Regions from separate parts of the Mus musculus genome. Here regions 1 and 3 are each reported to be linked to region 2. Evidence: microRNA targets listed by miRTarBase, many of them from high-throughput screens and not tested one by one. Region 2 holds a microRNA gene; each other region holds the end of a gene's coding sequence.

Region 1 (4,386 bases), not on the chromosome of region 2:
CTCACAGTGAATAGCAGGAACTCAAGAGGCTGAATGCACAAAAGCATCCTATTCTAACATCCTGTTGACTAATGACTTGGTCCGGCTCAAAGTGAAGGGCCAGGAAAGCAGGCTCCATTCAGCAAGGCCATTCACAGCAAGGCCACAGAGAGAGGTGAACAGTACAGTGACCTGCCTCCAGTTGCCTAAGCTCCTCTGTCCCTCTGTGCAGCCGGAAGCATCATCCTGCATCTTTACACCATACCTTATGAATAAGAGCCTCACTGGGGCAAGATTTCTGTCCGCTCCACCCACTGTGGTAGTGTCCTAATGCTGCCTGTTTATTCTTCTGTCTTCTGGTGTCAAAGGATTCATAGTAGACAATCAATGACTGACTGGCTGCCCCAAATCAGACCCCCAGCCTTATGACTTTGTGATGTAGAATCTAGATGTCCTGAGCCGACCTTTTTTTTTTTTTTTTTTTTTGGTCTTTCTTCACCCAGCTTTGCTCAGACATCACTTCCTTTCTCAGTCAGACATGCTAACAGGGGAGAACATAGGCAGCTCAGAGACAGGTACATGGATAGGCAAATACCTTTAAAAAGCCCTCCAGAGCTGACCCATGACTACCCATGGCTACTAGTGTTGTATAGTGATGAGGGGCAGGCTTTGGGGCCAGACAGGCCTAGAGTAAAAGCCAAGACAACAATTTAGTCACCATCTTGGACTAGCACTAAGAAAAATATAGAAAAAGGCTAGTTCAGAGAAATGTCTACCTGGTTTCCTTTTGCTGAACCGTCTGACAGTTTAGCCCTCTGTCAGTATGAAACTTCCCTTTTAAGAACTAGGCTACCGAGCAGGAACACCGGTTAGAGCAGGTAGCACTCACTTCCTTTGCTTCAGTGATTTCTTCGCTGGCATACACACAGCTCAACTCTACAGAGAGAAAATGCTGCTCGCTGAAGATGTACCGAGCGCCAGATACAGGCTAGTTCTCCATGTCTGCAGATGGTTTCTGCATGTACTTCATCAGAAGTGTATATGCCGAGGGTAGCTTATCAACCTTTCCCCATTTATATATATGCCAGCGTTTTCAAGGTCAGTAACCCAAGTCAAAGTCAAAGCAATGAGAAATATTAAAGGTGGAGGGGAAAACCCTTTTAAATCGAAGGAGCTAGAGCAGACAAAGCAATGAAAGAAAAATAAAATAAGAGCCCAGGAGAGTGGAGTTGGACCTCAGCTCTCAGATACAAAATATCCTTAACAAAAAGCAAGAAAAACGTCTCTTCTTTTGAGATGATCAGATTCCTTAGAAACTGGACTGAAATTCAGGTATTTACACGTGTGCAGGTTTGCTAACTCTTGTTCTTCTTTTAAGTTCTCTCCCTCCCGCACCTGCATGTAGCACAGGATGCATGTGCCCACGAACTCCCCAGGTTCATGTTTTGCTTACAGAGTGCCAGCCTTAAAGATGGCCGCAGTGGATTCAAGTGCTGCATTGGTGTGTTACTTCCTTGAATCACAGAGCACTCAAGTTTTAGCCCTGACCATGTTTTCTTTTACATTTCTCTAGTTTTACAGACTCAGGATGTTTTCATGCATATCAAACCAATGTGAAGTTTGTAGTGCCTGAAAAACAGAACCAACAGAGTAAATAGTAAGGGGCCAGCCAGAATCAAGAAGCAGGAAACAGCATGTTGGCCCTTACGCCACACCCTTTTTCCTCTCCCTCTAGAACTTGTCCTCTGAGGGGCAGCCTCACCCTGAGAAGTCCTTGTGTTCTCAAAGTGTGTTCTCATAAAAGCAACATGAAACATGCATGCACAACGGTAAGCAAAAGCAAGAGATCCAAGTGCTATTCCGTGTGCAGCAGGCTTCATCTTCTACATGAGACAACACCTCGTCTTAGCATGAGTGACTTCAACACGCTGCTGAAACCCCGAGTCAGTCACAGAGGACACAGGATTCGGAATTCCTATCCAGTGTGGCACACATAAGAGCTGGTCCCTAACTACAAACACATAACCTTACAGTCTAGCATTACAGTTAGCCCCAAGAACAGGAAGGTATATAAGGTAAATCCGCCACTCAGGTCAAGTTTGAGTGTGCGCTCCTGTTCTCCAATCCTTTTCAGCAACATCTAGAGATCAGAAAGTGAGTTCTTATCCCCCCAATACAGAATCTGTGTTTTATCAATAAAAATCGTTTAAGGAAAAGTATAAATGGAGACCAATCCCTTACGTTAAAAAAGATTCTGGGGGAAACTGGAATGGGTTTATAAAGCTGGCTTTGTGGTAACTGAGAATCTCTTTAAACGAGAAAGAATTCTGGTTGGTGTGTGAAGTAATGCAGACTGGATGCTAAGTGCCTGGATGGTTCCAGGAATGTCTTCATCAAGAAGCACTGGGGACAGCGAGGAAGCACCAGGGAGTCACAGACGAGAGAGGCTGTGGCAGTCCCTCATCTTACTTAAAATCTTCTCAAGCAAATCATGTTCTGAAGCACAACTGCCGACTCATGCTGAAAACAGTCTCGCCAACGCACTCACACTGAACGCCAGTGTCTGTCTCTCTTCCGTCTGTGAAACAGGAAAGTGCAAGTGGAACCACGGCACAGGAAGTACTGCTTCCAGGTTGTTACTGACAATCTGGAGGAGTCCACACAGCTGATGCTGAGAGCTAGCACACCTGAGGCTCAGAGCAGCTACTGTATGCTAGCAGGCTGGCTCTCCAAGCCTAAGTTAGTTACACCTTCCCTCTTATGGAGAGTGAGCAGGACCTGGACTTTAGATACAACGCATAACAGAGGAGGTCAGGGAAGGCTGGCAGAACTTCCTAGAGCGCCTCTTTGCCTCTTTTGTTTCACCCCTGAATGTGGATGGAAGACACAGCGCAGGCCTCACTGTTACAAATAAGTGTGTGTGTGCAAAGGTCTGCATGGTAGGCCACTGAGACAGGGAAAGGAGGCAGACGGTTCCCCGGTCTGCACTTGTCTCTGCATATATTGTATGAAATACACAAGGATACTGGAGGAAGCTACCATATGAGGAGTTTCTGTCACTGCAACTAAATGTACTTGTAATGAATACAAAATTCTCACATAAAAGCCCAAGTAAAGATTATGAAGACAACCTTACAACTCAATATTGGAAAAAGAACCTTTGCTCTGACAAATATGGTGATGCATAGACTCGGGTGCTTGAATGCATAGCCCATGGGGACTGGCACTACTAGGATGTGTGGCCTTATTGGAGTAAGTGTCACTGTAGGGGGCAGGCTTTGAGGTCTCCTAGGCTAGAGCTTTGCCCAGTGTGCCTTCTGCTGCCTGCAAATCAAGATGTAGCGCTCTCAGCTCCTTCTCCAGCCTTACGGTGCCTGCACCCTGCCATGCTTCCCTCCAGGATAATGAACCTGGAAGCCAGGCCCAGTTAAACGTCATCCTTTGTAAGAGTTGTCATGGCCATGGGGTCTTTTCCCAGCAGCACCTTAACTGTGACAACAAGCTTGGATTTCCTCTTCTTCAACCAAGCATCAGTAACATGCGCTCAATGCAGAGGAGAGGGGGGTGACAGTGGTAAACCAGCGTCTGGTACAAACACAAGTGGGAGGAGACGGGCATCAGGGCAGACTACGAAATCAAGGTCTGATACAATGTTCATTCACACCATCATCCCGATGCCAACTTCGAACCATAGAAAACACAAAGTTTATTCCTTGGACAGCAGAAGCTCCAACTTGGGTCTTAAGTCTGTGCCTTCACACTTGGGAAGCTGTCTTCTAGGTCATCAGCAAGAGCCTCATCGACCTCACGTACGACTTTAACGAAGTCTTCCACCTGTGAGTCACACAAAGAACCAATGTCTACAGTAGAGGAAAAGGTGTTTTTTAAAGACATCCATGGTTACCTATGAAAACATCCTCCTGCCCTTCCAATGACTCAATACAAACAGTGTGAGCCAAGAGACCTCCCGCAGGTCACTTGAAATACTCCAGTGACAAGCCTAGAAGTGACGACCCTAGCCAGTTAGTTCCTTTCACTCCCGGCTGTTAGACTCCCACTGCTTCCTTGTAGGTCGCTCACTGGCGTTTTATTAATTCCCCCTTGCTGTCAAGCCCCCTTATGCCAGCTCTGCCATACAGCATTAAATCCCGGAAGCTATGCTATCATTTCCCCATACTCACTGCAGGGCCGTAGAGGGGCAGGAGGCTCTGAAAGGCGCAGGAGCACTTCTGCTTGCTTAACTGGCCCTCCTTCAGTCCCTGAGCCACCTTTTCCTGTGACAAGCAAAAGCAAAATTTCACATCAGAAAAGGAAATGGACTAAGGCTGTATCTGCAAACATAGCCATCAGTACAGAGAATCACAGCTGGTCTCATCAGCATCCTGAACCTCCGCACAGCTAATCTCA
Region 2 (4,386 bases):
CTCATTTATCTTGCTGATTTTTCTAAAGGAAGATAAAGAAATCTGGTAGTGAAGGTGGGGAGGATCTCAGAGAAGATGGGGGATGTGAAATTGTGGTCAGGATATATCTTAAACATTTTCAGAAAAAAAGAAACAAAACAAATGTAGAAGTGCTGACTCTATCAACTCTATAACCTCTAATAATATTCATCACTTGTACAAGTTATGACATCAGGAAGGATGCCTGAACCCTGAACACACCTAGGGAATGCAAAACTCATTATACATCACCTTGCATATATAATTTGACATCTTCTTCCTGCATTCCAATAAGATGAATAACTCTGAGTACCAATAACTGATCATCACTCTCAGCTTAATACCCTTTCCTTCATTCTTGCCAGACCACGTGCCAAACTTAGGGCCTCAAGCATACAATCTAATTATTCTAAAGACTGTGCTTTAGGCTCTTAAAAGTATGTTTTTTAGCACATAAATAAATTGAATTTTCCTTCTGTATTTTATCGGACCTATGTGAATTTTTGAATAACAACAACAACAAAAAGCATGAAGGTGACAACAACACCATTAAAAACCCTGAAGGTGTCCTAGGGCCCAGAAAAGTCAAAGAACACCATAATCAGAAATGCTAGGATATTTGTACTTATACAAAAATCACTATGCTAAAAGTAATGAGACAGCTTGTTAGACTTATTCTACTCACACAGAAGAACTGGTTAACAGTTTAAGCAAATATGGCTCTGTATAGAATTTTAGCATGTAGGGCGGGCCTCAATCATGTCCTAATAGTATCCTATTTATCAATCTGCCTTAATGAGTATAAAACCTTAACATATATCATATTTATTCCTATCTTAGGGAATATTCCTTGTACATAACATACTATGTCCTACTATATGGTTGACTGCCAAACTTTGTGTTAATTCTCCAATCTATATGCGGCTATAAAGTTAACACTGGGAATCAAAATTGTACTTAGGTAACAGATTAGGACTGGTTACATTTTGTGTAACTACAGATAAAACACCCTGACCACATAATACCACCTGCAATGAAGAACACAATAAGCCCTACTCTACTCAGCTTGGTGTCTTTCATTCTTATAAACATGACAGGCACCAATCTGAATACAGCACTGCATACAAGAACTTTAATGAGAATGCTCTGCCCCAGATCCTTCATCTACATGTCACACAAATCATTCTGCCCCACTCAACATGAAAACTCACTTCTGTTTATATGTATATATTAGAAAACATTCCTACAGTAGGCTATGAGTTTCTAGTTCTTCACTGTATACTATGTCCTGGTCTCTATTTACAGTGTTGATTCTCAAATCTACATAGATAAAAGATGTATCATTTGTTGATTGTGGGTTTAGTTTCTTCTAAGTATTTTTTTCTTTAACCTACATGTTATAATTGTGTAAAAATTGAACATCTAAAATTATACTCTGGATAAATATGGATCCTGAGGGTTACATATGACTAATTACAATGAGGGATTCATGTCAAGTGTAACTGCACTGCACCACTCTGACCAATTAAGGCATAATAAATGAAGAATATCATGGGCCTTACTCTATTCAGCATGATGTCTTTCACAAATATTTCACATGATGGACACCAGTCTGAACACAGCACTGCACACAACATACTGCCCTCTCCCACTCCTATTTCAGTGTCCTGGACAAAAAGTTAAGTACTAGTTGCATGCTTTGCATCAGTATGACTGATGCTTCATCTTTTTTTCTCTACCATGTAGTAATAACCATCATATTTGAGGATCCTGTCTAAATTCACCTTGAGGATGTATGCTGTGAAGATAAATACAGTATATACTAGTTTTCATGAGCCTTCATCAATTCTTGTAGTCTAGTGTGATAGGTGAACACTAGATTTCTTTATTCACAGGTCCAGGAAATGACAAAATCCTTCACCTTTCATTTCTCCTTCTGAATGTTGTGATCCCAATTTTTTATCTCATTTTGCTGATATTAAATATCCATTAATAATAAACATATTACTTTTATAATTGCACTCTCTGACCATTTTGAGGCATGTGTACAACCTTAAGCACCTTTTAAGTCTAAAAAAGTGGGGCTTTAAATGAGAAATGATGAAAATGGTAGCAATCTCAAGGATGCCTTTGAAGACGAAGTATAAGGTCCAGGGTATACAAAGTAAGGAGCTTGTTGAACATTACTCACTCTGAGAGACCATGTGTACACGCACTTAAGTCTCACTGACATTAATGTGTATAGGGATTGACACTAAAAAGCTTTCAGGAGAAATAGTACTCAGCAGAGAAGAGCCCACCAACTGCTTTTCCATGGTCAGCACTGAAATAACATACATAAAACTTTCAAAATATGGACTAAGCAGGGCATGAATGAGAGAGAGAACAAAGGGGTTAGTTGATTAGAGTGGCTGAAGGGAAGAAACGAAAGGGGAGAATTATAAAATATTTTAATTTAAAAAGCACTTAAAAATTAAAATGAAACTAAACTTATTTTCCATAGTGCTATGTCCCTAATTTTAAATATTTTCACCTATGAGAAATAGGAATTAGATGAAAGGTTCCCCCTATATCTTCACCTAAACAATGTCCTGTGAAGGTAGCTACAATCGATCTTAGAATCAGAAAATACTCTTGCATGTGCATCTATGTTCTTACATTTACAATGACAGTACTTTATGAGTATCCTTATATTGAGAGAGATACCCCAAACTGTTTAAACTGTTTAAACCCTTTTCTTAAAGAGACTTCCTCCACTGCCAGAGATCTTGAATAGCCTCCTGGTCAGTCATCCGGAAACAATTCTTCACATAATTAATGAACTTGGCTTCCACTTTGGGAAGAGAACCGCCTTTTTCTATACTTGCTTGCATTTTTGCCTTAATGTCTTCTACAGAACTAGGTCCTTTTGGTGTTTTAGGAGTCTTTTCCTGTTTTTTGAAGGACTCTTGACCCTTTGATCTCGGTGTTGACGGTTTTAAGTCTTTTCCATTTTGGTTTGATTTTTGTGCATTTTTGGCTGGGGTATCTCGTACAGATTTCTTCACTGGGACCTTTTCTTCAGTTTCCTCTTCATCAAAATCATCATCATCATCATCCTCATCATCCTCATCATCGTCCTCATCATCTTCATCAAGTTTTACTTTTTTCTGTATCCTTATATTGAGAGAGGTTAGTAGAAAGTGACTGGTATCTGTCCTATATCACAATGCACACACCAAAATGAATGGAGACATATCATCTCATCTGACTCTTGCATTACCAAGAAGTTTCAGGAGTCCTTAACTCAAGTTCTTAGGGAATATATATACTCTCCTTCACTTTCTATCTCTACCACTTCTGGATCAGAGAGATAAAAGTCCTTTAACTTTATTTAATTACTGGGAAGGAAATTATTTTTTTTTTCTTTAGATTATCTTCTTTCTTTACATTCTCTATTTTGAAAGTACCCATGAGGTGAAACATGGATAGTCTACACTATGTTGAAAAAGTAAGGATATGGGGCAACAAAGACTCAAACCGTTTCTGTGTTTAGTCTTTCATTAACACAGTGTACCTCATTTTCTTTTTATGAAAGCATAATTCTTAATTTTAGCACCTTGTTCTCCTTTTCCTTACCTAACATAGATGCTTGAATGCTGTCCCATGAAAGTGATTAAAAAGATACACACAATTGTATAGTAAGGCTTTGTGATCATCCTGAAAACCATTATCAGTGATCTTACATGGAAAGCACTAATACTACCTAGAACCTATCAAAAATAACTGAATTAAAGAGCAGTACTTTACCTGGAAGATTTGTCGGTAGTCCAACTGTCTAACAGCTTCTTGAGTGAGATATAACATAAAGCATGAAGATATGGAGGTATCATCCATGTAGGCTAATCATCCCAAGCAGTTTTCATCACTTCACCAATTACAGCATGACATATTAACATTGATTTATTTATTTTCAACTGTTTGGGAATACAAAATATACTTTGTCACCTTGCATGATAAAGGAAGACCTCTTGACCTATAGCCAGATAGCCAGTGTGACTTTAAGATTAATCAGTGATATACTTTGCAAATGACTTTTAAAAACTAGGTAATGAAAATCTTCTAAAAGAATCAGAATATTGGGAGCATAGGATGAGAATACAACACAATTGTACCTGTATATCGCTGTTCAATTACTGGAGAAAGTTACAGAATACAGAAGATAGGAACTTGGTCTATTTAAATTCAAATCACTGATACCATCATAATTTCAGTGACTTGAATTTAAATCTGTTTGGTTCTTTTTCACTTAGGGCCATATTTATAAAGGAAGACTCTAATTACTTGTAGCTTTTCAGTCCACTTTCGTGCACTCATCATCTAAGTTGT
Region 3 (4,386 bases), not on the chromosome of region 2:
TGGGTCAGGGTTTAGGAATTCAACTGAAGGTAATTGAGATATTTTTCCAAGTGATCATTCAATTAGACCCCATTCATAACCTGCTTTGGGGGCAAACAGCAATATATCAGAGCACCGCCTACACCCCATGAAAATGTTGTTTTCTTTGTATATTTATATTTGGGGGACTCATGTAGTTATCCCTAGCTTATATGCTTGGAGACAGCTCTTTGACTATTCGAAATATAGTTAGATAATATAGATAAAACCTGGTGTGAACTGGAAACTCTGTGTGCAAATGATAGACTTTCTTTTTCCCATTTAGGACAAGTGACTTGAAAAGTTTAAAAAAAAATGACAGGGGGAAAAAAGAGCAAAATCAAACAACTTTGATTTGTGCAAAGTGTTTATGTTTAGTCTTGTCAGGACTGTGCCAACAAGAAAATCACAACATGTAAGGGAAGAAGAAAAAATAATCAATTTTGGCCAAACGGCAAGAATTATTTATCTTTACCATTAAATGCATATGTTCCCATGCACCTCTGGTGAGCCAGACTTGCTGGTCCCAGTCCCTCTATCTGTGCTCCTTCGTCAGAAGCTTAGAGTCCTGTTCAGAAAGCTCCTATGTGCTCTCAGTGTGTGTGTGTGTGTGTGTGTGTGTGTGTGTGTGTGTGTGTCTCTGTCTGTCTGTCTGTCTGTCTGTCTATCTCTCTATCTTTCTCTCTCACTGTCCCTCTTTCTCACTTTTTTTCCTTACTAGCTCAGCCTATTAGGAAACTAAGATCTGTGAGGAGAAAAAATAAGATGTCATAATTTGTATTAATATTAAATATTGTTACTGACTATATGGTGTCAATCTCCTGCCTCTCAGAATAGAATTCCTGCCTCCAACTCCCTTGTTCAGAAATCAAAGAGAATGCATTTTGTATTTCATATCCAAGCTCCAAGACATGGGACCCAGTTAATCTGTACACTAAGAAACGGAACAGAATCAAAAAAAATGCAGTTTATTATTGTAGATTATTCTTTCTCTTGATATAACCAGAATTGAAAATGAAAGAGAAGCATGTAGAACGTCACGCGTGGTTAGTTAGTAACTCAAGTTATAAAACAATTTTGCACAGCAAAATATGTAAAAGAAAAGTAACTGACAAGATTTCTTATATTTATTGTGGTAAGATTTCCTTTCCTTTTCTTTCTTTCTTTCTTTCTTTCTTTCTTTCTTTCTTTCTTTCTTTCTTTCTTTCTTTCTAAGACAGGATGTCAGTCCCTGAAAATAACATTTACTGGTTATTGCCTTTAAAACTGTGGATTTTTTTAAGTTACAGAAAATCCAGTTCTGCACCACAACATAACTGTAAAAAATCTGCATCACTTTAAAACTGTGCAGTAATGCCATTTTATAACTGCATAAATTTTATTAGCGTTCTAAACAGTTTTTGCGATTTTTTTTTGTATTATATGCTTGCAGGTTATATCTTAGTGCAATTCAGTCCCAAATACTTTAATTTTGGAAAAAAACATACATTTTGAATGTAAAATACCCCTACAGATATAAACAGGGGCATTTCCCCTTTTAATACTTTGGTTTTCAATACAGTCCATGGTATAGCAAGAACTACACATACCCAACTTATATTTAAGTTGCAAGCACATGCTTCAGAAAGCTACTTTTTAAACAGTCCCCTTGCAAACTCTACCCCCCTTAACATCACAACAGTAAACAATTTAGTGCATCGGTCTTTAAAAAAATCTACAGCTACACAGACCTAACTCTTTCAAATGTATCTATAACATTCCTTTATCTGTAGCATACATTTTAACTGGGCTAACAGATTATAAAATCTAGAATTAAATTATATACTAGAAACCCATAGCATTCCACATTTGACAATGACCAAAAACCAAAAAAATTAAAAAAAAAATAGAAAAAATAAAATAAAAAAAAATAAAACCAACCAAAAAATAATTGGGGCAGATTTTTTTTTTCTTTCTTTTCAAAGAAAATTTAGACTGCTTTTGGCAATAGCACAATTTAAAGTGCCCCAAAGCAGGCATCATTGTTTCTAAAAAGAAAACATTTAATTTACGTTCTATAATATTTGCCATATAAATTTGTAGCCCATTCTGCTATCTTTGACAAGGAACGCCTTCAGTGCATGTACAACGGGAGGCTGAAGTTCATTGTAACTCAAAGCAGTCAGGAGTAGAAGCAAACTGTCAAGGGAAGAAGGCTCTGGGGTTGTACTTTTTCTGTTGTTGTTTGGAACTCAAAAAAGTCATGAGGCTGTAAATCAAAAGTATGGATGTCATGCGCTAAGTCTTCAAAAGTCCATTTCCAAGCCAAATTGGGGGGAAAAAAAAGGAAAAAAATAATTATACCATACATGTCCAGCATGCAGGCTTCTTTTATTAATATAATGTCTCTTTTCCATAATGTCTTTGAAACTGTTATAGTTCATTGTTGCTAAGACAAAGTAGCAAGCATCGTAATGCATGAGATGAGAGTAAGTTTGTTTTTGTGTTTTTGTTTGTTTGTTGTTTAATGGCAGACTAAACTTTCAGATTTGGCATCATAAGGCCAAAACTCACAAGTCACACCCAGAAGGTTGATGTAGGCTTGATTGTGGCAGGTTCAGGAGTGGCTTTAGTTCATTCTGTTTTAGCATAACAATGCTAAGATAAAACCCCCGTGGAACTCAGCTCGCTGCAAGGTCTATAGCATTTCACATTTTTTTTTCCTTTGCAAGCTCAATCAGAAGAACTCAGAAGGAGGGGAAAAAAAAACCCTGCTTTTTTTTTTTTTCCTTTTATCTCAAGAACATGGTGCAGGGGTGGGGGTGGGGGGTGGCAGAGGCTGGGAAACACAGCAAGCTCCAAAAAATTAGTAATAGTAATAATAAACAAAAACAAAGAAGAAGAAGAAGAAAAAAGAAAATCCAAACAAAATAAAACACACAAACACACACACACAGAATGAACACCAGCTCATGAGCTGAAGAAGAAGAAGAAAAAATATATATACAGGCAATTGATGGCCCGGTTCAAAGGTGAGCTATGCCCTACATGAAGTATGCTGCTCAGATCTTTGACCCTTGTGCAAGTCCAGGGTATGTGTGGGGCAGGCGGTGTAAAAAGAGTAGTAGTTGTAATAATAATAATAATAATAAAAAAGAACAAAACAACCAAGCTAGCAAGTTACGGGGGAATTCAGGTTGGCAATCCATGAGCCAGACACCCTTTCCCTCCCCAATTCAAAAGAGCCATCACCACCACCACAAGCTTGGTGTGTGTGTGTGTGTGTGTGTGTGTGTGTGTGTGTGTGTGTGTGTGTGTGTCTGTTCAGGGCCAAGGGGAGCAAACTCGCCAGGGGAGGGGGCGAGGTGGTGGCCGAGCGAGCTTGGCCCTGCAACTAGCAAGCCCACTCAGGAGCGGGACCCCCACGGAGCATTTAACAAGGTGGCTAGCTGGGATCGCGTGTCACACTCACATGAAAAATTCGGGAGAGGAAGGGTTGTCGCTGCTCGAGCCGTTTTCTCGGAAGCCGTTGCTCACCAGCTTCTCGTATTTCTCCTTGTAGGCGTCCCTTTCGCGCACCAGCCTGGAGATCTCCTGCTTGAGGTGGTCTACCTGCTGCAGCAGCTGGTTCTTCTCCGACTCCAGGACGTGTCTCTGCTGCACCCTCTTGAAGCGGCAGGACTGGGCATAGCCGCGGTTTTTCAGGGTCCGCCTCTTCTGCTTCAGTCGGATCACCTCCTCCTTGCTGACCCCGCGCAGCTGCCGGTTCAGCTCGCGCACCGACATGGTCACCAACTGCTCGTCCGAGAAGCGGTCGTCGAAGTGCAGGCCGCCCGCGGCATGGTGCGGGTGCAGGGCGCCCCCCGCCCCCGCCGTGCCCCCGCCGCCGCCTCCGCCGCCGCCGCCCCCGGCGCTGGCCGGGCCACCGCCGCCCGCGCCACCCGCGCCGCTCGCAGAGGCAGACGCGCCGCCCGCGGCTCCCGGGGCGCCGGCCGTCGGATGGTGGTGGTGCCCCGCGGCGTGGTGGTGGTGGTGATGGTAGTGGGGTGCCGCGCCGCTCTGCGCGGCGGCCGCGGCGATCACGGCGGACACCACGGCGGCGGCGGGGCCCATCTCCTCGCCGCTGCCGCCCAGGGAGGCGCCGGCGCCGGCCCCCGCTGCCGCGGCCAGCTGCTGCGCTCCCCGCGCATAGCCATCGAAGCCACCCTGGAGCTGGTGGCTGTTGCTGATGAGCGCCTCGACCGCGTCCTCCGGGCTGAAGCCCAGCGCCTCCGGGTTGAGCTGCTGCGGGTAGCCGGTCATCCAGTAGTAGTCTTCCAGGTGCGCCTTCTGTTCGCTGCCCGAGCCCGGGCTGGGCGCCGAGAAGCTGGGGGACGGGGGCACCGAGCT

Evidence for each region. Region 2 holds the annotated microRNA mmu-miR-743b-5p (UGUUCAGACUGGUGUCCAUCA, at 1,617-1,637, opposite strand). A microRNA usually pairs through its seed, bases 2 to 8, with sites in the 3' UTR of a target mRNA and lowers its output. Matches are read on the target gene's strand: a 7mer-m8 pairs with bases 2 to 8, a 7mer-A1 pairs with bases 2 to 7 and ends in A, and an 8mer does both.
Region 1: miRTarBase lists Saal1 as a target of mmu-miR-743b-5p. Seed matches in the 3' UTR shown: 7mer-m8 at 738-744.
Region 3: the mRNA of Maf is a reported target of mmu-miR-743b-5p. Seed matches in the 3' UTR shown: 7mer-A1 at 3,319-3,325.

The regions. Positions count from the first base shown.
Region 1 is chr7:46,685,643-46,690,028 of GRCm38, forward strand. It overlaps Saal1 (serum amyloid A-like 1), which reads right to left. Exons shown (of 12, transcript NM_030233.1): 11 at 4,161-4,253; 12 at 466-3,813. The coding sequence ends at 3,721. Among named protein-coding and RNA genes, the nearest start is that of Tph1, 20 kb to the left of the region's middle.
Region 2 is chrX:66,775,686-66,780,071 of GRCm38, forward strand. Mir743b (microRNA 743b) reads right to left here and starts at 1,647; the gene lies at 1,571-1,647. It overlaps Mir743 (microRNA 743), which reads right to left and starts at 1,133; the gene lies at 1,072-1,133. It also overlaps the pseudogene Gm14681.
Region 3 is chr8:115,702,286-115,706,671 of GRCm38, forward strand. Maf (avian musculoaponeurotic fibrosarcoma oncogene homolog) reads right to left here. Exons shown (of 1, transcript NM_001025577.2): 1 at 968-4,386. The coding sequence ends at 3,466. Among named protein-coding and RNA genes, the nearest start is that of Maf, 2.4 kb to the right of the region's middle.